7 linked regions of the Sus scrofa genome follow. The main gene of each other region encodes a partner of the protein of the gene in region 5 in a complex. Links are inferred from orthologs where the notes say so. Each region holds a gene or a part of one and is shown on either strand. Other genes may lie near its edges. The genes, in order: RRN3, UBTF, POLR1B, TAF1B, ZNRD1, POLR2F and POLR1E.

Evidence for each region.
Region 1: ZNRD1 (region 5) and RRN3 share a complex: the UniProt entries of both Homo sapiens proteins name them as parts of the pol I pre-initiation complex. The link is inferred for Sus scrofa from reciprocal best matches to the Homo sapiens genes POLR1H and RRN3.
Region 2: ZNRD1 (region 5) and UBTF share a complex: the UniProt entries of both Homo sapiens proteins name them as parts of the pol I pre-initiation complex. The link is inferred for Sus scrofa from reciprocal best matches to the Homo sapiens genes POLR1H and UBTF.
Region 3: ZNRD1 (region 5) and POLR1B share a complex: the UniProt entries of both Homo sapiens proteins name them as parts of the pol I pre-initiation complex. The link is inferred for Sus scrofa from reciprocal best matches to the Homo sapiens genes POLR1H and POLR1B.
Region 4: ZNRD1 (region 5) and TAF1B share a complex: the UniProt entries of both Homo sapiens proteins name them as parts of the pol I pre-initiation complex. The link is inferred for Sus scrofa from reciprocal best matches to the Homo sapiens genes POLR1H and TAF1B.
Region 6: ZNRD1 (region 5) and POLR2F share a complex: the UniProt entries of both Homo sapiens proteins name them as parts of the pol I pre-initiation complex. The link is inferred for Sus scrofa from reciprocal best matches to the Homo sapiens genes POLR1H and POLR2F.
Region 7: ZNRD1 (region 5) and POLR1E share a complex: the UniProt entries of both Homo sapiens proteins name them as parts of the RNA polymerase I (Pol I) complex. The link is inferred for Sus scrofa from reciprocal best matches to the Homo sapiens genes POLR1H and POLR1E.

Annotation. Positions count from the first base shown.
Region 1 is NC_010445.4:7,569,191-7,573,408, forward strand, and holds the start of RRN3 (RNA polymerase I-specific transcription initiation factor RRN3), read right to left. Parts: upstream 2,801-4,218; 5' UTR 2,735-2,800; coding exon 2,646-2,734; intron 925-2,645; coding exon 819-924; intron 1-818. UniProt on the Homo sapiens protein: Required for efficient transcription initiation by RNA polymerase I (Pol I). Required for the formation of the competent pre-initiation complex (PIC).
Region 2 is NC_010454.4:18,993,515-18,997,014, reverse strand, and holds part of UBTF (nucleolar transcription factor 1), read right to left. Parts: intron 2,168-3,500; coding exon 1,992-2,167; intron 1,975-1,991; exon of another isoform or gene 1,690-1,974; intron 1,429-1,689; coding exon 1,345-1,428; intron 1,248-1,344; coding exon 1,092-1,247; intron 1-1,091. UniProt on the Homo sapiens protein: Recognizes the ribosomal RNA gene promoter and activates transcription mediated by RNA polymerase I (Pol I) through cooperative interactions with the transcription factor SL1/TIF-IB complex.
Region 3 is NC_010445.4:43,957,284-43,960,783, forward strand, and holds part of POLR1B (DNA-directed RNA polymerase I subunit RPA2), read right to left. Parts: intron 1,898-3,500; coding exon 1,616-1,897; intron 513-1,615; coding exon 379-512; intron 1-378. UniProt on the Homo sapiens protein: Catalytic core component of RNA polymerase I (Pol I), a DNA-dependent RNA polymerase which synthesizes ribosomal RNA precursors using the four ribonucleoside triphosphates as substrates.
Region 4 is NC_010445.4:126,583,524-126,587,559, forward strand, and holds the start of TAF1B (TATA box-binding protein-associated factor RNA polymerase I subunit B), read right to left. Parts: upstream 2,801-4,036; 5' UTR 2,702-2,800; coding exon 2,684-2,701; intron 1,360-2,683; coding exon 1,261-1,359; intron 723-1,260; exon of another isoform or gene 599-722; intron 593-598; exon of another isoform or gene 461-592; intron 1-460. UniProt on the Homo sapiens protein: Component of RNA polymerase I core factor complex that acts as a GTF2B/TFIIB-like factor and plays a key role in multiple steps during transcription initiation such as pre-initiation complex (PIC) assembly and postpolymerase recruitment events in polymerase I (Pol I) transcription.
Region 5 is NC_010449.5:22,625,663-22,629,670, forward strand, and holds the start of ZNRD1 (DNA-directed RNA polymerase I subunit RPA12), read left to right. Parts: upstream 1-1,208; 5' UTR 1,209-1,341; intron 1,342-1,454; 5' UTR 1,455-1,474; coding exon 1,475-1,610; intron 1,611-1,834; coding exon 1,835-1,935; intron 1,936-2,272; coding exon 2,273-2,382; intron 2,383-4,008. UniProt on the Homo sapiens protein: Core component of RNA polymerase I (Pol I), a DNA-dependent RNA polymerase which synthesizes ribosomal RNA precursors using the four ribonucleoside triphosphates as substrates. Can mediate Pol I proofreading of the nascent RNA transcript.
Region 6 is NC_010447.5:9,914,922-9,918,940, forward strand, and holds the start of POLR2F (DNA-directed RNA polymerases I, II, and III subunit RPABC2), read right to left. Parts: upstream 2,801-4,019; 5' UTR 2,689-2,800; coding exon 2,669-2,688; intron 985-2,668; coding exon 915-984; intron 1-914. Other genes in the region: C5H22orf23 (UPF0193 protein EVG1), read left to right, coding at 3,122-3,425. UniProt on the Homo sapiens protein: DNA-dependent RNA polymerase catalyzes the transcription of DNA into RNA using the four ribonucleoside triphosphates as substrates.
Region 7 is NC_010443.5:238,196,304-238,200,458, reverse strand, and holds the start of POLR1E (DNA-directed RNA polymerase I subunit RPA49), read right to left. Parts: upstream 2,801-4,155; 5' UTR 2,712-2,800; coding exon 2,636-2,711; intron 1,774-2,635; coding exon 1,670-1,773; intron 504-1,669; coding exon 427-503; intron 1-426. UniProt on the Homo sapiens protein: Component of RNA polymerase I (Pol I), a DNA-dependent RNA polymerase which synthesizes ribosomal RNA precursors using the four ribonucleoside triphosphates as substrates.

The sequences.
Region 1 (4,218 bases), on a different chromosome or scaffold from region 5:
AACTATTACAAAAAAATGCATCGTGATATATGTATCTGTATAAGTGATTTACTTTACCATACACCTGAAACTAACACAACTTTCTAAGTCAACTATTCTCCAATAAAATGTATTGGGGAAAAAAAAGATCCTAGATTCTAACAAGATAAACACACATATAAAAAGAACATTGTAACATTCATACATCAACTGGAATTACAAATCCTGACTACGAAAATTTTAAAACTTATGTTAGTGAAGCTAGTGGGCTAGAAAAAAAGAAAATGACAACTCAAATGCAATTTATCTTTAGGTGTACTTGTGTACTGACATTTAAATATGAAAGTGAATATGCTACATAGAGATATATATGCAAGTTGCATATAAAAATACATAGTCCTGATTATTTTCCCTCCATTGCTGACATACAGTAGAATCACTTCTAAACTGATGCAAAAACAAACCAAAACCAAAACCCTCATCAACAAAGCTGGTTTGTGGCCCAAAGCAATGCTTAGGTAACTCCTTAAGAAATAAAATGCCCTGATCTAATGATTTTTTAATTCTACCTCTTGCCAAAGTTTTAAAAAGATACTATACAAAGAAAGCATTTAAAGATCTGTAACAGCAAAGGGGTTACTACTCTCTGAGCTGACAGCACCAAGCTGCTGTGAAATATCTGATTTCAATATTGATATCAAATTCATCTTATCTGTCCTGTCTATCAGATTATAGCTATAGCTGTAATCTGACTAGCAAAAATAAAACCTCAATATGTCAATTTTAATTCAATAAAGGTGAGGAAAAAACTCACCAAACCTCACATTATCCCCTCTTACCTTTTTGTATTTCAGCAACACTTCTGTCACAGTTCCACCAAACCGAACGGTTTTTCTTGGGGGAGAAATGAAGAAATCATTCTCTAGTGCAAGCATATCTGAAAGCCTATAGAATGAAGATTATCAAGCCATTAAAGTGCTTGACAGGGAACAATAAAATATATAATAACCAACATTTACTGGACCATCATCATCCGGGGGGACTACTGCTGAAGTCCCCTAACTGGCCTCCCTGCCTCTCCTTGAGTCCCCCAACAATTCCTCATTCAGTGATCTAAAGATCTTTCAAAAAGACAGATCAAGCTATCCAACTCTCCTGCTTAAATTCTCCAAAGGTTTCCTACTTCACTCAGAATAAAAAGTCTACACTCTTTACTGGGGGCTTTGAGGTCCAACATTAATCTGGCCCCTGCCTACCTCTCTAACTTCATCTCCAAACACTTACTGCAGCCAGAGTCTTTTCTGTTCTTCAAACTCACCAAGCAGATTACCATTTTACTTATCATTACTTCTATCAGAGACACTCATTTTCCAGATATGAACCTGGTGGGACCCCTGTCTTCACTCAAGTTGAAGCTCAAATGTCAGAGAGGGCTTCCCCATCAGAATTCTAAAGTACTCATCCTTTCTTTCTCCCCTACCATCATCCTGTTTTATTTCTTCACAGAAGTTTCCAGTATCTGAAATCATCCTGTTCATTTATTTTTTGTCTTCCCTTCCTCACACTGTAAGCTCTGCTGAGAGCAGGGACACTGTCTCTTTTGATTGACTACGATCCCCCATGTCTAATACAGAAAGCAGGCACTTAAGAAATATCATGAATGATGCTATGCCGAATGTAAGTTTGTTTCTTTTAAACACAGTAGATTAGTGAAAAACATAGTATCTTGCTAGTGACTCTCAAAGTTAAACCCCACAGTGTTTCACCAGGATCAGGGACTTTAAAAGTTGACTAGGATAAACACTGTTAAACAAAAGTGTGTCAAAACAAATTTCAGGGGTTCCCATTGCTGCTCAACCAAAACGAATCTGACTAGTATGCATGATGACGCAGGCTGATCCCTGGCCTCCTTAACTCAGTGGGTTAAGGATCCAGCATTGCAGAGAGTTCTAGACCGCAGATGCGGCTCAGATCTGACATGGCTGTGGCTGTGGCATAGGCCAGAGGCTGCAGCTCTAATTCGACCTCTAGACTGGGAACCTCCATATGCTGTGGGTGCGGCCCTAAAAAAGACAAAAAATAAAATTAAATTAAAAATTTCAAAAAAACTAAAAAAAAAATAAAAGGCAGTATGCCATTAGTGATGGCATTCAGCTGATAATCCATATAACCCAGGGACTAAATCTAAATCTAACCAAGGAAGTTCCCTCTTGGCTCAGCGGGTTAAGGATCCGGCGCTGTCACTGCTGTGGCTCAGGTCACAGTATGGCACGGGTTCGATCCCTGGCCTGGGAACTTCTACAAGTCGCAAGTGCGGACCAAAAAAAAAAAAAAAAAAAAAAAAATCTAGTCCAAGAAGCAGGTGGAACGAGTAAAAGGGTAGAATGCCGTACCCAGGCCTGGGACGCTATTGAGCGAGCCCAGTAAGAGGGAGTCCAGGGAGGAGCAAAAGGAACTCTGGAACAGAAAATAAGTTCATATTTCCAGCCCCTCTCCCACCTTTATTACCCACCTAAGGGACATGGGCTCCCTATTGAGAAACTGAACTGACCCTGTTCCCTCTGTTCCCACCCCCCACTCCTTTTCGGACCCTTCGGATTGCTCCCCTAATCCCGGTCCTAGGCTTTGGTCCCAGACGCGTAAGAGCAAGCGCCCCGGATTCTCACCCTGTTCTAGACGCGCCCAAGGTCTTGACTGCGGAGGCCGAGGTGGCAGCATCTCCGGGAAACCGCGTGTGAAGCAGCGGGGCCGCCATCGGGCCGGACAAGCGCGACGATTGCAACCTGCGCCGGAAGTCTTGTTTCTTCTAAGACCGCCTCCGTCCAGGAAGACTCGCGTGAGAGCTGCGGCCGTCAGCCAATCAGGAACCGCAACTGGGGAGCGCTGAGTGAGCTCGGCGAGCTAGAGCGCCACCAATGCGGTCTCCTCCAAGCCCTGCATCGGGCCCCTCCTTCTGCCTGGAGGACTTTCTCTGCCTAGCGAGGTGTTGCGCTGAGGGCGCCTCCTGTACAAGTAGGGGAGGGATTCGTAGGGCGGCACAATCCAGCCTCCAGGGTCCCAGAGAAGGGGCGGGGACACCGGCAAGTGCTAAGCCGTGGCTAGGTATTAAGCTTTTGGAGTCAAAACATCCGTCAGTCAAACTGAAGAACCCAAGGACCCGTGATTAACTCAAACCCGCAAAGAGATGGTGCCGTCCAGGGTTGGAACGAGTCGGCTCGATCCACAGGAAGCTGCTTCCCGTTACCTGCTGGCTACCCTCACAGACGCCCAAACTAATCTTATCCTCGCGGAGACAGGCTTGACGAAGCGGCTTACCCCTATACCTCAGAGCTTATCGTGATGCTGGGATGAGAAATCAAAGAGTGAGAGGAGACAGTTTCCAAAAGACATTAGCCCTTGAACTTAAATTTTTAAAGGAGGCACGGAGTTGGCCAGACCATAAAAGCAGGAAAGGGTCTTACAGGCATAGGGAACAGCAGGTGCCAAAGAAGGGTGGGTGAGAAGGAGGCAGAAGGAAAGATGGACTGCCCCTCCCCTTAGTCCTCCCCTCTCAGTTTCTAAGAAGGAAAAATGTTGCAACCTTTGGAAACTGTATAGAATTATATCAAAAGGACATTAAACCAGCTACAGCAATTTGTTAAATGTAAAGCGCTGTTCTGTTTTTGCAAAGGTGTAAAATCAGTGACTAAATATCTATGGTGGAAAAAAATAAACATTATTGAATAAACTAAAATCAGTAACTGTCTTTTGGCTGTCCCCAACCATTTCTTCCCTCACTACTTTATAGAATTCCTGCGAAACACTGGGCAGAAGTCATCAACGTCCCAAGAGCAGAGGAAATTGCACCCTGCTCACAGAGATGTTCAAGAGAGCTGTTTAAGTGGGACTCGCTCTCCTCCGCCCCCAAAGCAGAGGGGAAAACAAACAAACGAAAAACCTCACAGTTCTTTGCACTCTCAGTCAGTAGTTTAACTGTACTCTCCAGCAATTTGACAATTACTTTAATCTTTTATTTTTAAAAAAGTCTTAGATGTACAAAAGAATGTATGTTAATCCGACTAGAAACCATGAGGTTGCAAGTTCAATCCCTGCCCTTGCTCAGTGGGTTAAGGATCTGGCATTGCCATGAGTTGTGGTGTAGGTCACAGGTGCGGCTCGGATCCCGAGTTGTTGTGGTTCTGACGTAAGCCGGTGGCTACAGCTCCGATGAGACCCCCTAGCCCATGAAACTCCATATGC
Region 2 (3,500 bases), on a different chromosome or scaffold from region 5:
GAACAGGCCCAAGGCTTATGTCCCCTAGGCTGGCGCCCTGTCCACTCAACAACGTGGTCTCTTCTGTCCCTTCTTGGTCCTGAAACCCCCGGCCTATCCCTCCCATCCCCTGAGGATGCCTGGGTGGCGTGTGTACAGTCAGCTCTGGGATGTCCCCATCACAGGGGTCAAGAATGGCTCCAGCCGCTCACACTCCGGCTCGGCTCAGGCAGCAGCTGCCGACAGCTGGATTTACCCAGCCCAGCTGGCTCCTTTTTTGGGGTACAGAACCAGCGCCTGAGCCGGCAGCCAGAGCGCACAAACCAGGAAAAGGGCTAAGCGCTGGTGCCCTCCTGAGAGGTGGCCGCGTGCAACTGTCTCCTCTCCCAGCAAATGGGCCTTCCTGCCTCTCTCACTGCCCCTCACCAGTGTCTCTCCCTGGCTCCGACCCACTGGACAGCATCTCCTGTGTGTCCCCACTGCAGGTGCTGAGCTCCTGCCTCTGCGAGGGACTGGGAGACCTGCTGTGTGGACTGTGTCCACCCTGCCTGGCAGGCTGGGGCAACCTCCACCCAAGGGTCACAGCCCCAACGGTCTAGGACAGCACGAGGCCCCAGGGCACAAGGTGTGCAAGGGCAGGGAAGCCCATCCAACCTGTGGATGTGGCAACGCAAAGAGCAGTAGACAGGGAGCCTGAGCACTAAACCGGAGTCCTGCTCTAGCCTCGCTGACTGGGACCTGATAACTCCAGCACCCTAGTTCCTTGCCTGCAAAATCGGGATCATCCAGTCTCCCAGAGTGACCTTTACGAGCAGCAAACGAGACCGTGTTGGGAAAATGTCAGGCGTGAAGGGCTGTGCGGGCCTAACAGTGAGGACTCGTGTGAAACACCACCACGGGCTGCCCGCGGCTAAACCGAGCGCCCGCCTCGGTCCGGGTGGCACGGACGGTGTGGGGCCAGGGAGGGCGATCAGGGGTGGCCACCCGAGGCCCTATTCTGCTCTGCTGACCCCCTCGCGCCCCTGACGCCAGGTCCCTTGGTCTAAGCCCTTGGCCCCCCAACAGATGACCCACGCCACGCCGACTGCTCCCGGCCTTTGCCCTCCCCCCACCTTCTTCTTCTCGGGCAGCTCCTTGTATTTCTTGGACAGAATCTTGGTCAGGTCCAGGTTGCTCATCTCAGGGTGGAGTTTTGCGTACTTGGCCCGCTTCTCCATGAAGAAGCGGAAATAAGGGGTCAGGGGCTTCTTTGGAAAGTCCGGATGTTTCTGGAAGGAGGGACAAGGACACGGCGAAGGTCAGACGCCATCCGATCTTTAGACCTGGCCTCTCCGAGCCCTGGCGCTCCTCCTCCTGGAAACTCACCTTGAGTTTTTTGCCTTTGTAGGGATTTTTAACATGTTCCTGAGCATCGAGGATCAACTCTGTCAACGTTCGGAACTTCCTCACCTGGGGGAAGAAGGGAGGTGAGCAGAAGGGGACGGTCCCAGGAGGGGACCACCACGCAGGCGCCGACCCTCGTTTTCCCCACGAGCCTTCTCTACGTTCCACTAGGCTGAAGTTACCAGAGGAGGAGGGGCAGAGGCCAACAGCCACACTGCTCAGGCGGCCCGGACACCCAGGCCGACACCCAGGCCCTGGCCCGTGCTTCCTGCAGAGGCCCAGGCAGTCAGAACACACCACAGGACAGCAAAAAGGTGACCACCTGACCTCGGAATGGTTGTCCGTGCCAGCACCTCATTCAATCCCCAGAACAGCTCAGACGACAGACGCTCCAAGACGGTAAGTATTCAAGGCCACACAGCTAGAAAGTGGCAGAACTGAGAAGTCTTGGCCAGGGCTGTCAACCGTGCCACCTCCCGAAATGCACAAGGGCGACCACGCGAGCACCTCGCCTGGTCTCTTTCCTTCCTGTTTATAGACTTCTGTTTCATCTCTCCCACCAGGAAGGCTGAGGCAAAGGTATGGGTGGATGTGTGCTCAGATGTGTCAGGAAGGGGGGGATCAGTTACCTCGTTAGAGATCTCCACCCATTTGAGCTTGCACATGTCTCCCGAAAAGTCTTTAAAGGCTACTTTTTCCCAGTCCATATGCGACTCAGTGGTTTTGAACTTGGAGCTGTCATTGGATGGAAGGTTGTTCTTCATGCATTCCAGCAAAGTCAGCATGTCTTCCTGGGACCAGCGGTCTGGGGAAGGGTCGGAACGCCCATCACGCTGCGCTCATGCTAGCCCCCAGCTGCTCCCCAGTCCTTAAGCAACCCTTCCTTGCCAGAGCACCCCAGACCCTGGTTCTCTTCCCTCTGAAGGCACAGACACGACACGACCTGGCCCTAAGCAAGAGCTGCGGCCACCTGGGTTAAAGGGGGAACTCCGGGCGGGACAGCATCGCATCTAGAAATCACCCTTGGACTCAAGTCTGGCTTCCTTCAGAGCTATTATCATTTCTACCATGCTACCTGCCCTGGGCCACAATTTATTAGACGGAAGGGGGCGGGGGGAAGCTACGGTGACTTGGGACCCTGCTGGAGAATAGCTAGCTTATTGCAGAGGGAGGGGAAGCAAGAAGGCCACGCATCTACCTAAACATGAAGCTTAGTTCGATCAAAGTTCTAGGTGAAGATTCTAAATGCGCAGACTGAGCAAGCGGTATGGGCAGTAAGGAGAACCCATGCAGATGTTTCTCTCCAGCGCAGCTGGAAACTACCATGAGAAACATGAGTGATGACCCTACCCTCCCTCTTGAGGAAGACCCAAGGAGAATGTGGGGCGAGTAAACAACTGAAAGAGCCAATATAGGGCAGCTGTGAGGCAACGCAGGCAAAGGCTCCCAGGGCCCTGCTCCAGCGAAGAAACCCCAGAGCCCGGGAATTCTGCGTTGTCTTCCTAGCTCAACTTCCCGTAGAGGCAGAGAACAGGGTCTGGCCCAGCCTTTTCCAGCCACTGAAAAATGCAGTTCCAGTGAGGCTCCTCTGGAGGATGGCCAGCCTGGAAGGTGAGCTGGGAGCACAGCCATCAAAGGGGCTGGGAGCACAGCTAGGCGTCAAAGGGGCTCTTCACCTGCATTTACATCTGGTGACCTGGGCCAGGGTTTCCAGGACGGGGTCACGGAAACCCATGAACCTGTCTTCTCAAGGTCTCACAAGGATTGCCAGAGGCTCAGATTCATCCTATCCCCTGCCTCCTTACACACTGGAGCCCTATGGGCTGGGGTGCTAGGTGAGGTAGGGTGGAGCTATATATCTTGAGACCTCAAGCCACCAAAACACCCTCTCTGGCCAGTGTGCCTCACCAAAACCCTTGTCCCCTTAACAATAATAAAAAACCTCAAAAGCCTTCTCAAGCCCTCTCATCTCCCTCTCCTTCATGTTCCTCATCTCTCTCCCATTCCCCGACATTGCTGAAGACACTCTGGGTGATGGGAAGCTCCAAAGGAAGACTTCCACACACAGGGGCCTCCTTCTTTCTCTCCAACACGAGGGAACAGAGTGTGGAAAATACAACTTAGAGGCTCAAGACCGA
Region 3 (3,500 bases), on a different chromosome or scaffold from region 5:
TTGTATCTGGCATATCTTTAATATTACTTGAAATATAAAGTCTGTATTTTAGGGTCCCCTATACGCCACTAATATTTACAAAGAAAAAGAAAGTTAAAAATGTGTTAGTGAGTGGACCAGAGCCCTCAATAAAACCACCACCACAGAAAAAAGGGGGTAGTACAGGTTAAATACCTGTCACTAACCCCAACCAATGAGGTGAGTATAAGGTAAGATGCTGGCTGCCACCAGAGAGAATGTAAAAGGCACTTTTGGGATCAGCTTCTGGCCTCTAGAGCCCTTGACCCTGGAGAAGGCCCTGGGGCTTCCTTGACAACAAGAAAAAGACCAAACAGCTAAGATGGAGGGACAAAACACCTCACAAGAACTCAAGAGCACCTTAAAATGTCGGAGGGAGTCAGCGATGCTAGGAGCGAGCTCCTTGTCTGCCCAGCCAACCATGACGCCATCCAGGAGGACAGGGTAGCACTCGCTGTACCGCCGATGTGGTGCACTGTCCACGGGAGTGACCCCTGGGGAAATCGAACACACAGAACCATCACCTCAGGCTCCTTTCCCCAACATTTAAATTCCCTCCAGATGGGTTCAATGTCGGCATCACCATTTTAGACATCTAGGCATCTTATCTCTAAAGCAGAATGTTTTTGTATTCTTGAGTAAATTTCTAAATCATTTCAGCAAGGACCCCCCAAATTGCGTGTCTGCAATTGCCCCTAGAGAGCACCCTGCAGACAGGGGTGTAAGGGAGGCTTTTTACCATACACTTTTTTATTTCTGAGCCATGTAAACATACCAACTTCTCCCCAAAAATCTAATTATAATTGATCTGCATTATTCACGCAACACAAATCTGCCTACTTGCTAAAATTTATTTGCAACCCCAGCTTCATACTAGTGGCACTTTTCCGATCACCAGAGGACATTCAGTGAAAATTTTGAGTTGTCTGAGACACGAATTCCCAGCTGAGGTCAAAGGAGGTGACGTGCAGTTTGCCGGTCTCAGCTAATACTATAGACAGACATCCTTCCCATGGTCTGTCCCAGGCCCTATTTATTTATTTTTTGCATCTTTGTGCTTTTCATTGGAGACTTTGCTATTTAAAATGGCCTTCAAGCACAGTACTAAATAAAGTCCTGGCTCCCAAGCACAAGGCTGGAAAACTGTGTTAGATAAGCTCAGAGTTATGGTGCTGTTGGCTGAGGGCTCGATGTTAGTGGATCAACAATATATATTGACTAAGGCATCTTTAAACAGAAACACAAAACAAGGCTATGTACCAATCAAGTGAGGAAGGTGTTATGACAAGAGACTTGCAAGAACCTAATCCCTGTTCCCCCAGAAGCAGTACCTCAGTATCTGCTAATTCAGTGCCAATGGTGACTTTACAGAAGTATTGCAATTACCAAGAACTTTAAGAACACTCTTTCATGAGCCATAAACACCTTCTGAAGACAGCAGGTGTTTCCCCAAATGTCACAGGTTATCCCCAATGCTTCACTCATCATCCCTGCAGGAATTCTCTGCTCAACTCACGCAGAAGCACAACTTAGTAGCTTTGCACCTGCTAAAACCCCCACAAGCACACAGGCCCGCTGATGGCTGTGCCCCACCTACCCAAGCTGCAGAGCAAAGCTGGAATAGAGGCTGTATACACGAACTGGGTGACGACCTCGCACGTGGCGGTTAAGTGGTTCATCAGACCACAGGGCTCCCCATCAGGGGTATGCACGGGGCAGAGGAAGCCCCAGGACTCTGGCAGCAGCCTGCGCACCGTGGTCGTCCGCATCTTGGCAAAATCAGCCCCTCTGTGCACACAGCGGAAGTGGGAGAGGTAGCGTATGAAGTTCAGCTTGTCAGCCACGACACAGAGTCCAGAATCCTGCAGGAAGCCAAGACCTTCATAAAACAAAAATCATCGAAAATTTGTATTGGAGGTGATGAAAAGATGACAAAACCTCAGAGCACAAACCTAAAGATCACAAAGTGGGTTATTACTGAGGTTACTCAGCTCTGGTAGAAGAAGGGGTTACAAAAAATAGCAAAAACCCCCAAATTTCACCAACTTGTATTAGCCTTGACTCTTTCCTCATCTCCTCTACACATTCTCCTTTATTAAATTAATAATACAATAGCAAGTAATTAAATGGGACTCATCTCAGAAGGCTGGATGACACACAAGCATGTCAGCTCTTAATGAACCTGCATCTGGAGTTCCTGCTGTGGTGCAATGGGATCAGTGGTGTCTTGGGAGCGCTGGGACACAGGTTTGATTCCACGGCCCAGCACAGTGGGTTAAGGATCTGGCGTTGCCACAGTTGTGGCTGGGATCTGATCCTTAGCCTGGGAACTCCATATGGCATGGCCAAAAAAAGAAAAAGAAAAAAAAAAAAAAAAAAAAAAAAAAAGAATCTGCATTAGAAGAACTGTTTTGTTTTTTTGTCTTTTCTAGGGCTGCACCCGCAGCATATGGAGGTTCCCAGGCTAGGGGTCTAATTGGAGCTGTAGACACCGGCCTACACAACAGCAACGCCGGATCCAAGTTGAGTCTGCAACCTAAACCACAGCTCACGGCAACACCGGATCCTTAACCCACTGAGCAAGACCAGGGATTGAACCTGCAACCTCATGGTTCCTAGTCGGATTTGTTAACCACTGAGCCACGAAGGGAACTCCCATAGTTTTTTCTTTTTTTAAAAAAAAAGCAGATTTCTGGGCTCTAACCATTTTTTAAAATTTTCCAGTCATTCTGATGTAACTGGTTTAGGGAAGGGCATGTATACCAAGCCTCCTAGACTCCCCACCTAGGTAACCTTTCCTCAGAGCTAAGCTGTCTTTAGTTTTCTAGAAGGAGGCATAGAAAACGCATGTGACCATTAAAAATAGAATAAAGCTATACAGACAACTTGTCTACAGCCTTTAGGCCAACATCCACCTATCAAAATTTGTAACCTGAAATCCGCCTTTGATGAAGTTCATTTTTTTTTTTTTTTTTTTTTTTTGCTTTTTAGAGCCACACTTGTGGCATATGGAATTTCCCAGGCTAGGGGTCAAATTGGAGCTGAAGCTGCCAGCTTACACTAGGGCTCACGGCAACACTGGATCCTTAACCCACTGAGAGAGGCCAGGGATTGAACTGACATCCTCATGGGCTAGGTAGGTTCATTACTGCTAAGCTGCAATAGGAACTCTCAGAAATTCATTTTTTTTTCTTTCCTTTTTTTTTTTTTTTTGGTCTTTTTGCCATTTCTTGGGCCACTCCCACGGCATATGGAGGTTCCCAGGCTAGGGGTCCAATTGGAGCTGTAGCCGCCAGCCTACGCCAGAGCCACAGCAACGCGGGATCCGAGCCGTGTCTGTGACCTACACCACAGCTCACGGCAACACCGGATCCTTAATCCCCTGAGCAAGCCCAGGGATCGAACCTGCAACCTCATGGTTCCTTGTCGGATTCGTTAACCGCTGAGCCACAACGGGAACTCCTCAGAAATTCATTCTTAAA
Region 4 (4,036 bases), on a different chromosome or scaffold from region 5:
TTACTTCTCTCAGCATGATTGTCTCTAATAACCCACAGAACAGAAGAAAATCTTTGCAAACAAAGTGACCCCTAAGGGATAAATCTCTCAATCAGACAAACATCTCCTGGAGCTTTACCTCAAACAAACAGAAAACCCAATCAAAAAATGGCAGAAGACCTAAACAGACATTTCTCCAAAGAAGACAGACAGATGGCCAAAAAACACATGAAAGGATGCTCAACATCACTAATTATTAGAGAAATGCAGGTGAAAACTCCAATGAGGTATCACCTCACACCAGTCAATGGCCATCACCACAAGTCTGCCAACAATACATGCTGGAAAGGGTGTGGAGAACAGGGAACGCTCCCACACTCTTGGTGGGCATGTAAACTGGTGCAACCAATCTCTGTCTTACGAGGCAGATACGGTGACTAAAATGAACACTGGAGTTGGAAGCCCTCGTTCAGGTACTTACTCAACAGTTTCTATTTACGTGAGGTTGGCATTGACGGACAAGCCTACTCGCCCCACCTACGGACACGGGCATTAACAGTGTAGCTCACAGGTTATCCAGAGGAGGAAACGGATCAACAGACAAGAAAACACAACTTACTGAGTAAGGCACTGCACAAGGGTATAATGATGACGAAGCATGTTTCCAACACTTCCAATAGTCCTTAATCTTTCTAAGATTCCATCTCCAAACAACGCATTACGAACTCTTAAAGAAGTACTAACTAATAAAAAGAAATGTATCATTTAGGTGCAATTTTAATTATTTCCCCTTACTATACAGTATGGATCGGGAAAATATTCATATATATGGCCCAATGTAATTTCAAAAGCTCATCCTAAATCTACTTTACAAATTCTTTAATCCTTGTGTAAGCACTTGAGGATTGCTTACATTCTTGGAATTTGGGCATTGTCTGAGTGATAAAAATAACTATGCCACATTATTAGGCTGAAACTGCAATTTTCATTTTTTCATTTTTTATTGTGTCTTTGTAGGGCCGCACCCAAGACATATGGAGGTTCGCAGACTAGGGGTCGAATCAGAGCTGTAGCCTCTGGCCTGCACCACCGCCACAGCAATAATAGATCTGAGCCACATCATGGCAACACCGCATCCTTAACCCACCAAGCGAGGCCAGGGACTGAACCTGCGTTCTCCTGGATACTAGTCAGATTCCTTTCCACTGAGTCACAATGGGAACTCCTGAAACTGCACTTTTTAAAGCACAAACAAATTCATAAGTGAGATCTGTTACTTACTTCTGTAACATTGTGGCAAGAAGTACAATAATATTTGCCTTCATCAGTAAGTCCCCAAGACACAGCAGCACACTGAGTACATCGTTCTTTGAACTCTTTCTGTAGGAGAAGAAAACCACATTCAATACATCATTCCTAAATCCTGCAGTTCTACTGAGAGGACTCCTGGCCCTTTTACTCTATAAATAAAGAATCATCCAAAACAGAAAATATACCAGAGAGATTTATAATCAAGAAGAACAGGCATTTCGTCTGAGCAGTTTGAAACCGGATTGAACCATTAGAGAAATGTTTCTAAAATACGCAGGGGGAGGGAGAAAAAAAAAAAAAGGGTGGTAGAGGTGAAGAGAAGGAAAAAAAGGTGAACAAAACTCCTTGAAACTGCTGTGAGGAAAGAGTTGCCGAGATTTAAGGACAGAGAAGACTTAAAAAATAGAAATAGCGTATCATTTTAAACTTCCTCCAGGATACTAAGAGCAAATACCACAAAGGAGCCAGAGTTTTATTAGGGTTATTTCAAGTTTCGATTTGTTCATTCGGGAATCTAAGGAGTACCAACTCCGTATGTAGTGGGCACTTAACGAGGTGCTGGGGATTCATCAAAACAGAGCTATAATCTCTACTCATAGCCATACAGGCTAAGGGTGAGTTCTACTTGTTAATCTCATTAACTAATGTTTATAAACGTTAACTATTCATCATTCAAAAAACACTGATTGAGCAGCTACAATGAGTAAGACCTTCTATCACCATAATGCTGCTGTACATATATAGACTGGCACCAAACTGATTCCCAACTCTTTGGTGTCTGAAGTCTTATTACCGTTGATCCAAAGACCGAATTTTTTTTAATACCGTCAGAGTGACATTTTAGGTAGTGTGTCAAGACGCATGCCAAATTTCTTTCGACAAGTTGGTCAAGTTTTCAGTGACCCCCCAGGTTGATAACTACCATAACCTCTGAGCGCCCCCAAACCCGTATTTGGAATCCTTGTACCAGACCGTGGCGAGGATTCCCAGGGACCCGCAGGTGTTCCTTGGGGGCGAGCGGGTTCCAACCCCAGCCCCCCTCGCCCAGCCTCCAGCATCAAGGAGAACTGTGGGTGGTCCCGTCTCCAGAGGATGAGCCACGTGGGTGGCCACCCCCCAAAACCTACAACTCCATCCTTCTCCCGAAACACACCCACGTCGACTAACGCCCCACCCCCGCTTCACCCAAAATCTCGCCGAGCAAGAAACTCCGGCCTCTTTCCCAAACAAACACGCGCCCTCGTGGCCCGCCAGCCCCATCCCTTTCCCCGCCCCGCCCGCCTCTGGCCAGGGGCCTCCCGCACAGCCAGCCGGCCTCCTCCGGCCCCTTCTCAGCCTCCCTCCCTTCCCGCCCCGCCGCTCGGCCGGCCAGCGCAGCACACGGCTTTCTCACCGCCTCCTCCAGGTCCATAGCGGCGCGGGCGCCGCCGACTCCGCCGCGGGGCCCGTTACCCGGGCAGCGAGCGCGGCTTCCGGGAGCGGCCGGAAAAGCCCTCCGGGCAGAAACCCAGACCCTGGTTTTGAGCTTCCGGCTCGTGCGGCTCCGGGAAGGCTCGGCCAGCTCCAGGCTGAAGCTCCGCTAATCCTGCATCACCCTCCCAGACAGCATCCCTGTTCTAGTCCAAGTAACTAAAGCCCATCAGTAAAAAAGTGGGCGGCGCCGACGGAGCTGATCCATGGAGCTGAGCGGATCCATTCTCTCTCTCTTTCTAAAATTTTATTTATTTTTTCCACTGTACAGCATGGGGACCAAGTTACACATCCATGTATACATAATTTTTCCTCCCATTGTCGTGTTGCGATGTAAGTATCTAGACATAGTTCTCAGTGCTACACAGCAGGATCTCATTGTAAATCCATTCCAAGAGCAATAGTTTGCATCCGATCACCCCAAGCTCCCGATCCCTCCCACTCCCTTCTTTGTTCAGACAGCCTTTCATCCCAGGCCGCTCTCATTCAATCCGGCTCCCCCGCGTTCCCACGCGTGGACCCGGCTCTTCACTTCGTTCTGGCTTTTGACAGCACAGGAGAAACACCAGGTTCTGGAAGAAAGAAACAGGTTTTTGAGTTAAACCTGGGTTTCTAATCACGGCTTTTCTGCCTCGTTGTGCCCCAGTTTTCTCCGCTGTAAAATTAGTTATTCCCTGTGACTCTCCTCTAAATGAGCTTCAGATGGTAAATGCTCATTAAATTTAGCTTTATTGTTGTCCCTTCATTGGCCATTCATTTCTTGGTTTGTTCATCAACCAGGCACTGTTTTAGGTTCTGGGGATTCAGCAGTGAGCAAAGTAAACAAAAGTTCCTGCCTTCATGGAGATCATATTCTGATGGGGAGAGAGAAACACAAATAAAGTACCCAGTATGTTAAATGGGCATGAGTGCCAAGGAGAAAAATAAAGCAGGAAAGGAAAGGGCGCTGTAAGGTGGTTTTGATTTTAAATGGAGCGGCAAGAAAGGTCTCCCTGAGAAGGTGACCTTTGAGGCAAGGAAGCCAGAGCCATGTTGGGACTGTCCTTCCAGGAGGAGGGAACAGTAAGTACCCAGGCCCTGGACCTGAGCCTCATGGCTGTCATTTAAGGGTCAGCAAGGAGGTCAGTGAGTGGCCGGAACCATGAGCTAAAGGGAGACTAGAAAATGAGGTGGATAGAGTTCCCACTGTGGCTCAGCAGGTTAAGAACCTGACACAGTGTCGAGAGGATGCAGGTTTGATCCCTGATCTCAGTGGGTTCAGGTCTCAGACATGGCT
Region 5 (4,008 bases):
TGAATACAAAGTAAAAAATAGAAGTAAAAAATATAACTTCTACAATTTATTTGAAAATCAGTCATGGGAGTTCCTGTTGTGGTGCAGCAGAAACAAATCCAACTAAGAACCATGAGGTTGCGGGTTTGATCCCTGGCCTCGATTAGTGGGTTAAGGATCTGGCCTTGCCCTGAGCTGTGGTGTAGGTCACAGACATGGCTCAGATCCTATGTTGCTGTGGCTGTGCCATAGGTGGGCAGCTGTAGCTCTGATTCAACCCCTAGCCTGGGAACCTTCATATCCTGTAAGTGCAGCCCTAAAAAGCAAAAAAAAGCAAAAACAAAAAACAAAACAAAACAAACAAACAAACAAACAAACAAAAGGAAAAACAAAAGAACAAAACGAAACATAGCTCAAGCAACAGCAAAGCCAGATCGTTAACCCACTGAGCGAGGCCAGAGATCGAACCCACAACCTCATCGTTTCTAGTCGGATTTGTTTCTGCTGTGCCACAACATGAACTCAAAATACAAAAAACATTTTGATGCTGAAATTTAAACATATAAAGAGTGGGAACTATGATTTTTAATCTACAAATACCATGATCTCTCTCTTTTTTCTTTTTAAGGCTGCACCTGTGGTATATGGAAGTTCCCAAGCTAGGGTCTGAATCAAAGCTGCAACTGTGATCTACACTATAGACAAGGCAACAGCCACCAAAGCACATGAGCCATACCGGGTCCTGCAGAGAGCCCTTGCTTGGGTCGCAAGGCCCAAAGAATGCTAGAATTACTCCCAGAATATTTCGCTTTGTTTTCTACCACTGTCCAACCGCCACAGTGAAGTGCAGATTCAGGAACCGCTGGAGTTTGCAGTTCTCCAGTCCAAATAAATAAATTAGTACTCTATAAGGTTGGTCCGACTTCTCAGGAGAAACGCTCCCCGCGACTGGGTCCTGGTAAAATTCGAGACCAATAAAATAAACATCCCAGGACTGAGTCCTGAAGGGAAAAAATAACCTGAGGCAGGCGCAGCTTCGTCACCTATTTTCGTATCCAACGTAACAGAACCAGGCTGAAGGGGGCGCCACAATCTTCCTTCAGAACCGCTCCTCTCCCTCTCCAGGCTCTCGGGATCACAGTTGCAATTAATTATGACGTCACAGCCAATCGAGAGCCGGGACGCGTGGACTCTCTAGCCCGCCACGCGCTCGCTGCTCGGTTGCCCGCGCGGAGCCGGCGCTCTAGCCCGTGAAGTTGACTTGCTCCTCTCGCCTGCCCCAGGAAAGACCCCCAGCGTAGTTGTACCCGACGCGGGATAGGGATTCCGGAAGTTTGGGCTCCTTAGTCACAGAGGCACAAGGTATGCGTAGGAAGAAATCTCGGGTTCTGCATGCTTACGTCCAGGGACAGAATAGGCATGACCTCTCTGGGGAAGGGGCTACTCTCTTAATAAACTCCTCATCCCCTTCCCAGCCCTCGACCACCCGTCTGTCATGGACCTCGCCCGCACATCCTCTAGCTTTCAGTCGGACTTGGATTTCTGTCCGGATTGCGGCTCGGTCCTGCCTCTGCCCGGGACTCAGGATGCGGTCATTTGTACTCGCTGTGGCTTCTCCATCAACGTGCGGGGTGAGGTGCTGCTACGCCGCGGCTGGGGCGGAGGAGGGCCCATGGGGATCTCAAGATCGATTGGATTAAAGACGGGGACCCGAAAGCGCAGGATCAGGCACTTATACTTTTGGTCGGCACGAAACCTGATGGGTAGAATATAGCTTCCTGGCCTAACAGAGAGGGATTAGTGTGGTGTCAGCCCCCTCCGCTGTCTCCACAACCAATTCTTACTGCCCGCGCAGACTTTGAGGGGAAGGTTGTGAAGACCTCAGTTGTGTTCCAGAAAGTGGGGACAGCCATGCCTATGTCGATGGAGGAAGGACCTGAGTTCCAGGGACCCGTGGTAAGTGAATCACGTCGAGGACTGGCCCTGTAAAGAGGGTGGGAACGAAACGGAGGGCTCAGATCTGGAGAGTTTTGTACACAACAGGGAAGAAGAGTCTTTAAAACAGTAGTGACTGGGGAGAGTTTTCTTGTGGTGCAGCCGGGTGTTAAGGATCTGGCCGGCATTGTCACTACAGCGGTTTAGGTCGCTTCTGTGGCACGGGTTCGATCCTCGGCCTGGAAACTTACACGTACTGCAGGTGCAGCAAAACAAAAACCAGCAGTATCTGAGGAGTGTGGTAGCTTGATGTCTGTGAGAAGTAGTGGGAATTATTAACCTACCAGTTGCTTCCCAGGTTGACAGGCGCTGTCCTCGTTGTGGTCATGAGGGAATGGCATACCACACCAGACAGATGCGCTCAGCCGATGAAGGGCAGACTGTCTTCTACACCTGTACCAACTGCAAGTGCGTATCCTTTCCCTCCATTCTGCCCCTTCTGGGTCTCTTTGCTGCCAAAATCCCGTGATTTAATTTAAATCCAGTGGTTTAATTTTTGTACTTTTTGGACTGGTCGCATCCTTCATTTCTGTACAGTTCAAGTAATAGGTTTGTGATCGTTTTCTTCCTTCCTTCCATCCTTTCTTTCTTTCTTCCTTCCTTTCTTTCTTTCTTTCTCTCTCTCTCTCTCTTTCTTTCTTTCTTCCTTCCTTCCTTCTTTCCTTCCTTCCTTCCCTCCCTCCTTCCTTCCTTCCTTCCTTCTTAGGGCTGCACCCCGTGGCATATGGAGATTCCCAGGCTAGGGGTCACATCCGAGCTGTAGCCTCTGGCCTCACCACAGCAACAGCAACGCCAGATCACAGCAACACCGGATCCCAGCTGCGTCCACAACTTACACCGCAGCTCACAACAATGCCAGAGCCTTAACCCACTGAGTGAGGCCAGGGATTGAACCACATGGTTCCTAGTCGGATTTGCTTGTGCTGCTGTGCCACGATGGGAAGTTCTGTGGTCTTTTTAAATTTTAAATAATTACTCTTTTCCTATCTTTTTATACCCAGTGAATTAAACCTTTTACAATAGTTAAAAGGAAATGAGTATTGGTTTGTGATCAGTGTGTTATGTTGGACTCCTCCACTGCCCTCAAGGTAGTTTTACTTTGGTGAGAGTCAGTCATGGATGATTTAAAAAACATGGGTTCTTTATTTTTATTTCTTTATTTTTTTTTGTCTTTTTGCCTTTTCTAGGGCCGCTTCCCGAGGCATATGGAGGTTCTCAGGCTAGGGTCTAATCAGAGCTGCAGCCGCTGGCCGACGCCACAGCCACAGCAATGTGGGATCCGAGCCAAGACTGCAACCTACACCACAGCTCACAGCAATGCCAGATCCTTAACCCACCGAGCAGCCAGGGATCGAACCCACAACCTCATGGTTTCTAGTCGGATTCGTTAACCACTGCACCACGACGAGAACTCCCAGAACATGGGTTCTTTAAAACATAGTTTTAAGAATTCCTCTTTGTCTTTGGTGTCCTTCAATTTCACTACAATCTATCAAGATGTGGCTTTCTTTTATTTATCCTGTTTGGGATGTGTTGGGCCTTCCAACAGTGAGGGTTGACCTTTTTTCCCCCATCAACCTTGGAAAATTATCAGCTGTTATCACACTGAATATTTCCCTCATATGCTCAGTTCTCATATTCTTAGAGTTCTAACTGATTAGCTCTTTATTAGGCCTTATCTTCTATCCTCCATTTCTCTCACCCTGTCTCCCATATTTTCCATCTCTTTTCTCTTTATGCTGTTTCTGGATAGATTTTTTAGTTCTGTTTGATTTTTTTGTGGCCATGCCGGCAACATGTGGATATTCCTGGGCCAGGGATCAAACCCTAGCCCCTGCAGTGACAGTGCTGGACTTTAACCCACTGCACCACAAGGGAAATCCTGATTATTTTTCAAATCATCTTAGTTATTTTTAATAATTCCCAATTCCTTAATCATATTTTAAGTGGTTCTTTTTATTCATAAAACATATTACATGTAAACATTAAACATGATATTTATGTTCTATGTCTGTTAATTCTCAAACCCACTGT
Region 6 (4,019 bases), on a different chromosome or scaffold from region 5:
TTTAGCCATGAAGCTAGTAACTCATTCACCAGAAACTCGTCTTCCTCGGCATCTCCCACTTTCTCAGCCCACATCCAATCTACCAAAATATCTCTTGCATCCGTTTTCTCATCTCCAGCAGTATCAGCACCCAAGTGCCAGCTACAGGTCTCACCTGGAGGTCCGTGAGAGCTCCTGAATTGGCCTCTCCTACTGTTGCTCCTCCCCAAAGTATTCCTTTTTTTTTTTTTTTTTTTTGCCTTTTTGCCTTTTCTAGGGCCGTTCCTGCGACACATGGAGGTTCCCAGGCTAGGGGTCTAATCAGAGCTGTAGCAGCCGGCCTACGCCAGAGCCACAGCAAGGCAGGATCCGAGCTGCATCTGCAACCTACTATCACAGCTCACAGCAACGCCAGCTCCTTAACCCACTGAGCAAGGCCAGGGATCGAACCTGCAACCACTGAGCCACCACGGGAACTCCCCAAAGTGTTCCTTTAAAGTGTAAACTGGACCATGCCACTCCCCAGCTCAAAACTTGTCCGTGGCTTCCCACCACCTGCAGGCTACAACATCCTGCCTGACCTTGGCCCTTACCTCTCCAGCTTTATTCCAGGTCACTCTCCCCCTTGCTCTTTATGTAGCCCCACCCTGCAGCGCTCCTGGTACACAATAAACATTCAACACATGTTTGCTCAATGAATGAAGGGGATATTTCACCTGTCAGTAAACTAACCACCCCAGAAGCTACAGGCTGTGGTCCAAGTGGACAAAATCCTTCAGGCCCACCCTGCGGGCCACCTCCACCACCCAGGACTAGACCTCTCCTCACTCTAACTGGCCTCACTACAGACAAGAAGCAGATGCATTCAGTCATCACTGGCCGGGCTATCTGGCAACTTGGGCTGCCGAGAGGAGAGCCCAAGGCTAAACACTTACCTCCTCGGCATTTTCCAAGTCATCTAGCCCTTCGTCCTCCTCCACATCGTCAAAGTCATCGCCATCAAAACTGTACAAGAAGAAAGCAGAGCATCACTTACAAGAATCAAAGAGGGCATAGATCTGATAAGCAGGAGGTGCTCAATAAATATGCACTTACTGAGTAAATCATTTTATAATAATAATTTATTAAGTCATTTGATGTCCTCAACTTACTAAAACAAAGCTTCCTTTTCTTTTCTTTTGGTTTTGTCTTTTCTAGGGCCACACCCGCGGCACGTGGAAGTTCCCAGGCTAGGAGTTTAATCAGAGCTGTAGCCACCAGCCTACACCAGAGCCACAGCAATGCCAGAGCCAAGCCGCATCTGTGACCTACACCACAGCTCATGGCAACGCCGGATCCTTAACCCACTGAGCAAGGCCAGGGATCAAACCTGCAACCTCATGGTTCCTAGTCAGATTCGTTAACCACTGAGCCATGACAGGAACGCCAAAGCTTCCTTTTCTATTCCCTCCAGAGCCCTATTTCCATGCCCCCCTGTGGGAGAAAAATTCATGAAAGAGTCGTCCATCTTCGCCATTTCCAATTCTTCTCCTCACATTCTGTCATCATCTCACTCCCAAAGACTTTCAGCTCCTTGGCTCCACCAAAACCACTCCTTTCAAGTTCATCAATGATTTGCACGTTGCTAAATCCACTGGTCTATTCTTGTTCTCATTTAGCCTGATCTGTCAGGTGGCACACCGAATCACTCCCTCTCACTCAAAACACTCTCCACTGGAGTTCCCGCTGCGGCGCAACAGGACTGGCAGCATCTCTGGAGCACTGGGACACAGGTTCGAGCCCTGGCCCGGCACAGTGGGTTAAGGATCCAGCACTGCTGCAGCTGTGCCATAGGTCACAACTGTGGCTCGGACCTGATCCCAGGCCCAGGAACTCCAGATGCCACAAGGGCGACCAAGAAAGAAAGAAAGAAAAGGACACCTCGCGGTCTTGGTGTTCCCCCGCCTCACAGTGGCTCTTTCTCAGCTTCTCTTCCCTCCAGGCACTCCACAGTTAGGATGCTCTGACGCTCATTCATCTCCTCTTCTCTACTGACCACCCACCCCCCTGCCGCCTCCCCATGATCGCCCCCTCTCTTAGCTTTGACTAATACTCTTATGCTAAAGACGCCTCTATTTTTGTCTCTCCTCCACACATTCAGGGAATCTTTCCGGTTCTAGCTTCAAAATAAACCCAGAAATCAAAACCACTTCTCACTACCTCTACTACGATTACCTAGTACAAGTCACTCCTTTTTTTTTCCTGGATTACCGCAAGCCTCCCAGACTTTTACCACCTCAAGTCTCCCCAGACCCTCCGCTGGGTTTCTTTTACATACTTCGTGCAATTCACACGACCCCTGCAGTATCCGTCTGTGGGCCTGTCCCCTTTTCTAGAAAGGGCCCCCTACCTGAAGAGCAGGAGCTATGCCTAATTCACCTCAGTAATTCCAAATCAAGAGACAGAGCCCGACTCCGTGAAAGTTTGTGGAAAGATACCACGTTCACTGATTCTCTCCGGATCCTCAAACTGGGGCTTTTCTTGGCCCAGCCTGTGACCAGGTCTAAGCTCCTGGTCCCCCCGCCTTTCCCTTCTTCAGCTCCGCGGGCCCCTCAATACCCCCAGTCCCCTCACGCATTGCCCCTCGGTTAACGGCTCCTTAACCTCCTTTGACCAGGCTCGGCAAAGCTCACTTTGCTCCCGCACTCACTTGTCCTCGTTGTCAGACATGACGCCCGCGCCGCAGCTCCCTGGTTCTGCGCTAAGAGTCGCGCGGAGACCCGCAAACTGCGCGCCTCCGCCACGAGCTGCGCCACGCGCACTCTGCGCCTGCGCTGTGACCTAGAGGCAATTGCTTCCGGGAGGATCGGCAGGGCGATAGTGCGCACGCGCCGAGAAGCTAGAGCTTGTTACCATGGTAGCCAGAGTGTATAACCAGAGCTTGAGCAGCGGAGATCTCAAAAGCATTCCTGCAGGGCTCCGGCGCGGGTGCTCCTTCAGAGCCTAGCGGCCACTCTCAGTGGGCACCCAGCCGGAGTCTTACCTAAGAGTGAGGTTTCCGTTTGGGTCTATCACACAACGGGCAAGGTTACCCTAACGCCCCTTTCCTCCAGAGGTGGCTTCCCTGCCACAGGCGCCGGGTCTGGATGAGGTCTCTGTTCGCATGTGTGTATCTGCCAGTGGATCTGTTCCGGGTGGGAGGATTGGGCACTGTCGCGATATTGATGGGCGGCGTCACGATTCTCTTGCGGGCCCCGCCCCCGCCAGACCCAAACTTTGGGTGGTGTTGGGGATGCGGAAGCAGAGGTTGTATATGGGAGACAGGGGGTGTGTCGTCGCGTTTTTCCCTCCTCAGAGCCCTCCCATGGCTTCCCAGGAGAGGGTGGAGACTGTGACCAAAGGAACTGGCTTCTGGCGCTGCCCCAAGCCGGCCGCTTACACCCCAAGAACCTGCGAGCTGCTCAGAGGTCAGTGGTGGTCGGGCGGGGCGGGGCGGTGGTGTCAGTGCATGAAAGGACAAAAGGAGAGCGGTAGTCACTGTTAACCTCTGTAACTCAGTTCTCACCTGCATGACTTATGGCTTGCAATTGCTGTTTTCATTTTTCAGATAAGAAGCCTGGGGTTCAGGAAAGTTTGGGGGTCCTGCAACTCGAAAGTGGCCAAAAGTCAAAGAACTCACGAATTTTAGAGTAGTTAACTGCTATGCATCCCTTATATCACACTTTTTTTTTTTTGGTTATTCTTTTTTTTTGTAATTGTTATTTCCCCAATACAATTTTTTTTTTCCTACTGTACAGCATGGTGACCCAGTGACACATACTATATCACACTTTCAATTTCTCCAGAGAAGCCTTATTTCCTCCCCACCCACCACCAACACAGTGCAACCAACCGTTAGGTGCCCACACACTCCCAGTGCCTTTTCCTTCACTGGGCTTAGCGTAACCTGTAGTCAGATACCTTGTGTGTCCCTATGAATTCATGTTGAATTAACATCCATCTGCCCTTCTAGTTCATGAACTCCCATCAGGACACGGTGCCTGTTTTGGCTCGCAATTGTA
Region 7 (4,155 bases), on a different chromosome or scaffold from region 5:
TAAGTTAACGATGTGGTGAAAATTAATGAAGGTGATCAAAAAGTATAAACTTCTGGTTGAAAAAATTTTGTAATTAAGTATGGATGTTAGCTAGACTTACCATGTTGCCATTTTGCAATATGTACATATATTGAATCATTGTTATACACCTGAAACCAATGTCATATGTCAATTAGCTCTCAGTTAAAAAAACTCATCAAGATTGTAAATAAATGAGATTTTTAGGAAATTAAACAAATCTAAGTCACTTTTCATTTTCAGGAATGTCTACATGCTGGTGTGAAGGCCACTGGGTCTGGGAACACAGAAACTTGAGAAACCTCTCTAGATTTCCCCCATTGCCCCTAAAATAAAGGCAGAGAAGAGCAGTGCCAGGGCTGCCGCCACCACCCTCTACTCCCCGCAATCCCTTTACCCTGTCCCTACCTGCAGAGAGTGTTGCATTTGAGGGCTCCAGTCCCAAAATTGTTTCCCACATAGGAAAGTCTGTCTGTTTCAGCTGCCTAAAATGGAGAGGGGGAAAGTTCCATTACAACCAATGCTGAAAGATAATAAATATCTTGACTTCCCACAGCTGAGCAACCTCAGATACAGAAGCTTTAGACTCCAAACCACAGTAGATTAGAACAGGGAGAGCCTCTTTGAGATGATCCAGCTCCACTATCTTTAAGTGAATTTTGGGTGTCCCTGGGGAAAAAGCAAAAGGATTTTTGAAAGGGAAGCCCCAGGTATTGCTGGCTTCCAGCTAGGCCAGAAAGTTCTTGGTGGAGCTTGGGAGAGTAGCTGAGCACGTAGAGGCATGCAACAAAATGATCCTGCAGGCAACCCCAAAGTCTAACCCCTTCTTGAACCTCTTTGCCACCTCTTCCATGACTGTTCCTTACATGCTCCCAGGACCATGGAAATGGCTAATATACTCCTCAATCATAGCCAAGTTTTCCTGCTTCCCCATGTTTGTCCTTGGTGTCCTCTTCACTTGGAATATTAGCCTCAGCTGTCAAACCTTCCTCCATCCTTCAGGGCTCCAATGCATCCTGCCACAAGAAGGCATTCTGGCAAGCAGAGCGCACTTTGCCCTGCTCTGTACCCTCCCTCCCTGGAATCCTGAACTTTGTCTCCTTATGTGTAAGTGTCCCCTACATCCAGTTCTCACTTCTCTAGATCAGTGGTTCTCAACCCAGGGAAATACCCCTATGGGGACATCTGGGAATGTCTGACATGCTATTGTCACAACGAGGAGGTGCTAGGTATATTTGGGTAGAGACCAGGGAAGCTGCTAAACACCAGGGATGTGCAGAACAGTCCCCACAACAAAGAATTATCTGGGTCAGAAGGTCAGTCGTGCTGAGATTGAGAAATGCTGCTCTAGATTATGAGCTCCCTCCGGGTGGGGCCATGTCTGACTTAGTTGTCTCCCTAGCTGCTTACGGCCCAGAGCCACAGTGGGGGTTCAATAGATGGTTGCTGAATGAACAAATGAATAAAGGGCTATCATTTCACCATAAGTGTGAAACTGAATGGAGCCTGCTCCCACACACCAGCCTGCTGGGGCTCAAAGTTCTTTAAGGCTAATCTGCTATCCCCTGCTTTTCTCCTCTCACTCCCTTCCACACCCAAGGGGCCTCCTGAAGCCTGCAGAGTGGAGAAAACAAGCTACTGCAGCACTTACCAGGATCCGCTGACTCCTCTTCCTGGGGTTTGTGGAATCATTGCTCTTGTACAAGGTGAAGCGCATGTTGCCTGGATTCTGCAGCTTCCCATTGGAGAACTGGACTGTAAGATTGTAGCCCAGGAATGACATGAGAGCAGAAGGACCAAGAGAGTATGATGCAGAGGAAACAGACAGTCAATGAGAGGGAGTGACTGAAGGAATGGGGATGGCAAAGAGGCCCAGGTCCTGGCCCAAAGGAGGTTTTTTTTTGTTTTTTGTTTGTTTTTTGTCTTTTCTGGGGCCAAATTCGCGGCATATGGAGGTTTCCAGGCTAGGGGTCTAATCAGAGCAGTAGCCACCGGCCTACGCCAGAACCACAGCAATGCGGGATCCGACCACCACCACAGCTCACGTCAACGCCGGATCCTTAACCCAATGAGCAAGGCCAGGAATCAAACCCGCAACCTCATGGTTCCTAGTCGGATTCGTTAACCACTGAGCCATGATGGGAACTCCCCAAAGGAGGGCTTAAGGAGATCCGGATCCAGGTGGGAAGAGGATGGGGAGGGGATGGGAAGGTAAGGGGAGGCCTGAGGAGAGAGGGGCTTCGACGGGAGGGAATAACTAGGGGAAATGGGACTAACTGACGAGGCCTGGACCAGACCTAAAAAGATAAAGAAAAATTCTGCCCAATGGAGGAAAGTAAATGGAGCAGGTTTGAGACTTGATGGGTGAGGAGATGACCGGGTCTAGAGTACTGGGAAGGGGTAACTGGTAAGGCCTCATTCAGCGGGAAGGTGGTGACAGAAACGCGGTGAGATGACAGAGGAACCCTGGCCGAGCCCTAAGTAGCAGTAGAGCCTGGAAGGGATCTGGCCCAGCTGAGAAGGGGGACGGACCAGTAAGGGAAGACGAGGGCTGTAGATACCGAGACAGAAAGGGAGGAAGTTACAGGGAGCTCTGCTCCGGCTCCGCAGTCCTTACCCAGTAAAGCTCTCTGGCTCTCTTCGGGGTCTCCACAGTACAGCCACCTTGCACTCGGCAACACCTCCGCCGCCATCTCGCCCTTCTACCGCCAAGCACAGGAGTTAAGACAACTGCGTCCGCTAGGTACACGCGGGTGGAAAAAAAAAAAAAAAAAAGGCAGGGCGGAAGAGGCGTGGCCTCTCCGGGCACCGCCCTGCGCACGCAGAGATGCGTGGCTCCGCCCCCATCAGGCCCGGCCCCTAAGCGCTGTCTCGCTGAGCTCTGAGGCGGGCCATCCCCTCTCACTCTTCGCCCGCCCCTCCGCGTGGAGAGGCGGGGTCTCTGCGCTCCCTATGCCCCGCTCCTTCCTCCGCAGCAAGGCGCAACACGTGATTGGCCCAGCACTCGGCCTGCTCTTTACAGGTCGTGTGCCGCTAGGGAGCACACTACCTTCAGGTCTTGCTTTAGCGCATAGACGGGTTTCTTCGCGGCTGAGTCTAGGTAGGGTATGGTCTATCTCTACCACCGAGGCAAATAAGTCTTACTGACGCCTGAAAGTCCAAGTTCAAATTTAGAATTTTTCGATAGGCAATCCTTGCACGCTAACTAAATGTGGCGACTGGCGGAGACCGGCCGCTTTCCAGGACCTCCATCCACACACCTGGATATCAATCCTTAAGCCCAAACGTGATCCACAATCCTGTAAACAGTAACATGACCTCATCTTCTCGGACCTTGGCACAGTACCACCTGTGGTTCAATCAACTCTGAGAGTATGGACCAGTGGGAGAGGCCCAGCAGACTCAAAGCTTCTGGGGTGGACAAGAAGGGGGAACCAGAAGGCATGGTCCTTTGTCCCCGCGGATTCAACCCTCCCTACCGCATGGGGAGTTATTAGGCAAAAAGGAGGATTAAAGCAGATCTTTCAGCATGGGCCCAGGCTAGGACCCGTTTTTCTCAGTCAAAGGAGGGTACTGTTGAAGGGAAAGAACCAGGTTGACTCATCTGTGTTTTCCAAATTGCCTTCTTTTGAGACTTCCCCTCCCCCTGCACGTACTTCCAAGATGATCTAAAAAACATTAACACCTGGGAGTTCCCTTCGTGGCGCAGTGGTTAACGAATCCGACTAGGAACCATGAGGTTGCGGGTTCCGTCCCTGCCCTTGCTCAGTGGGTTAAGGATCCGGCGTTGCCGTGAGCTGTGATGTAGGTTGCAGACGCGGCTCGGATCCCGCGTTGCTGTGGCTCTGGCGTAGGCCGGTGGCTACAACTCCGATTAGACCCCTAGCCTGGGAACCTTCATATGCCACTGGAGCGGCCCAAGAAACGGCAAAAAGACAAAAAAAAAAAAAAAAAAAAGATAACACCTGAGCTCTCCTTTTTCTGAGCAAGTCTTTTCTAATTACCAAATCTCAACTTACAGAAAAATTGCAAGTACAGTGCAAAGAAATTTTCTGGCCCTGAACTTTTTAGAGTAAGTTATCAACCTGATGCCCCATCACACCTGAAGACCATGTATAGTATTTCCTACAGACAAAA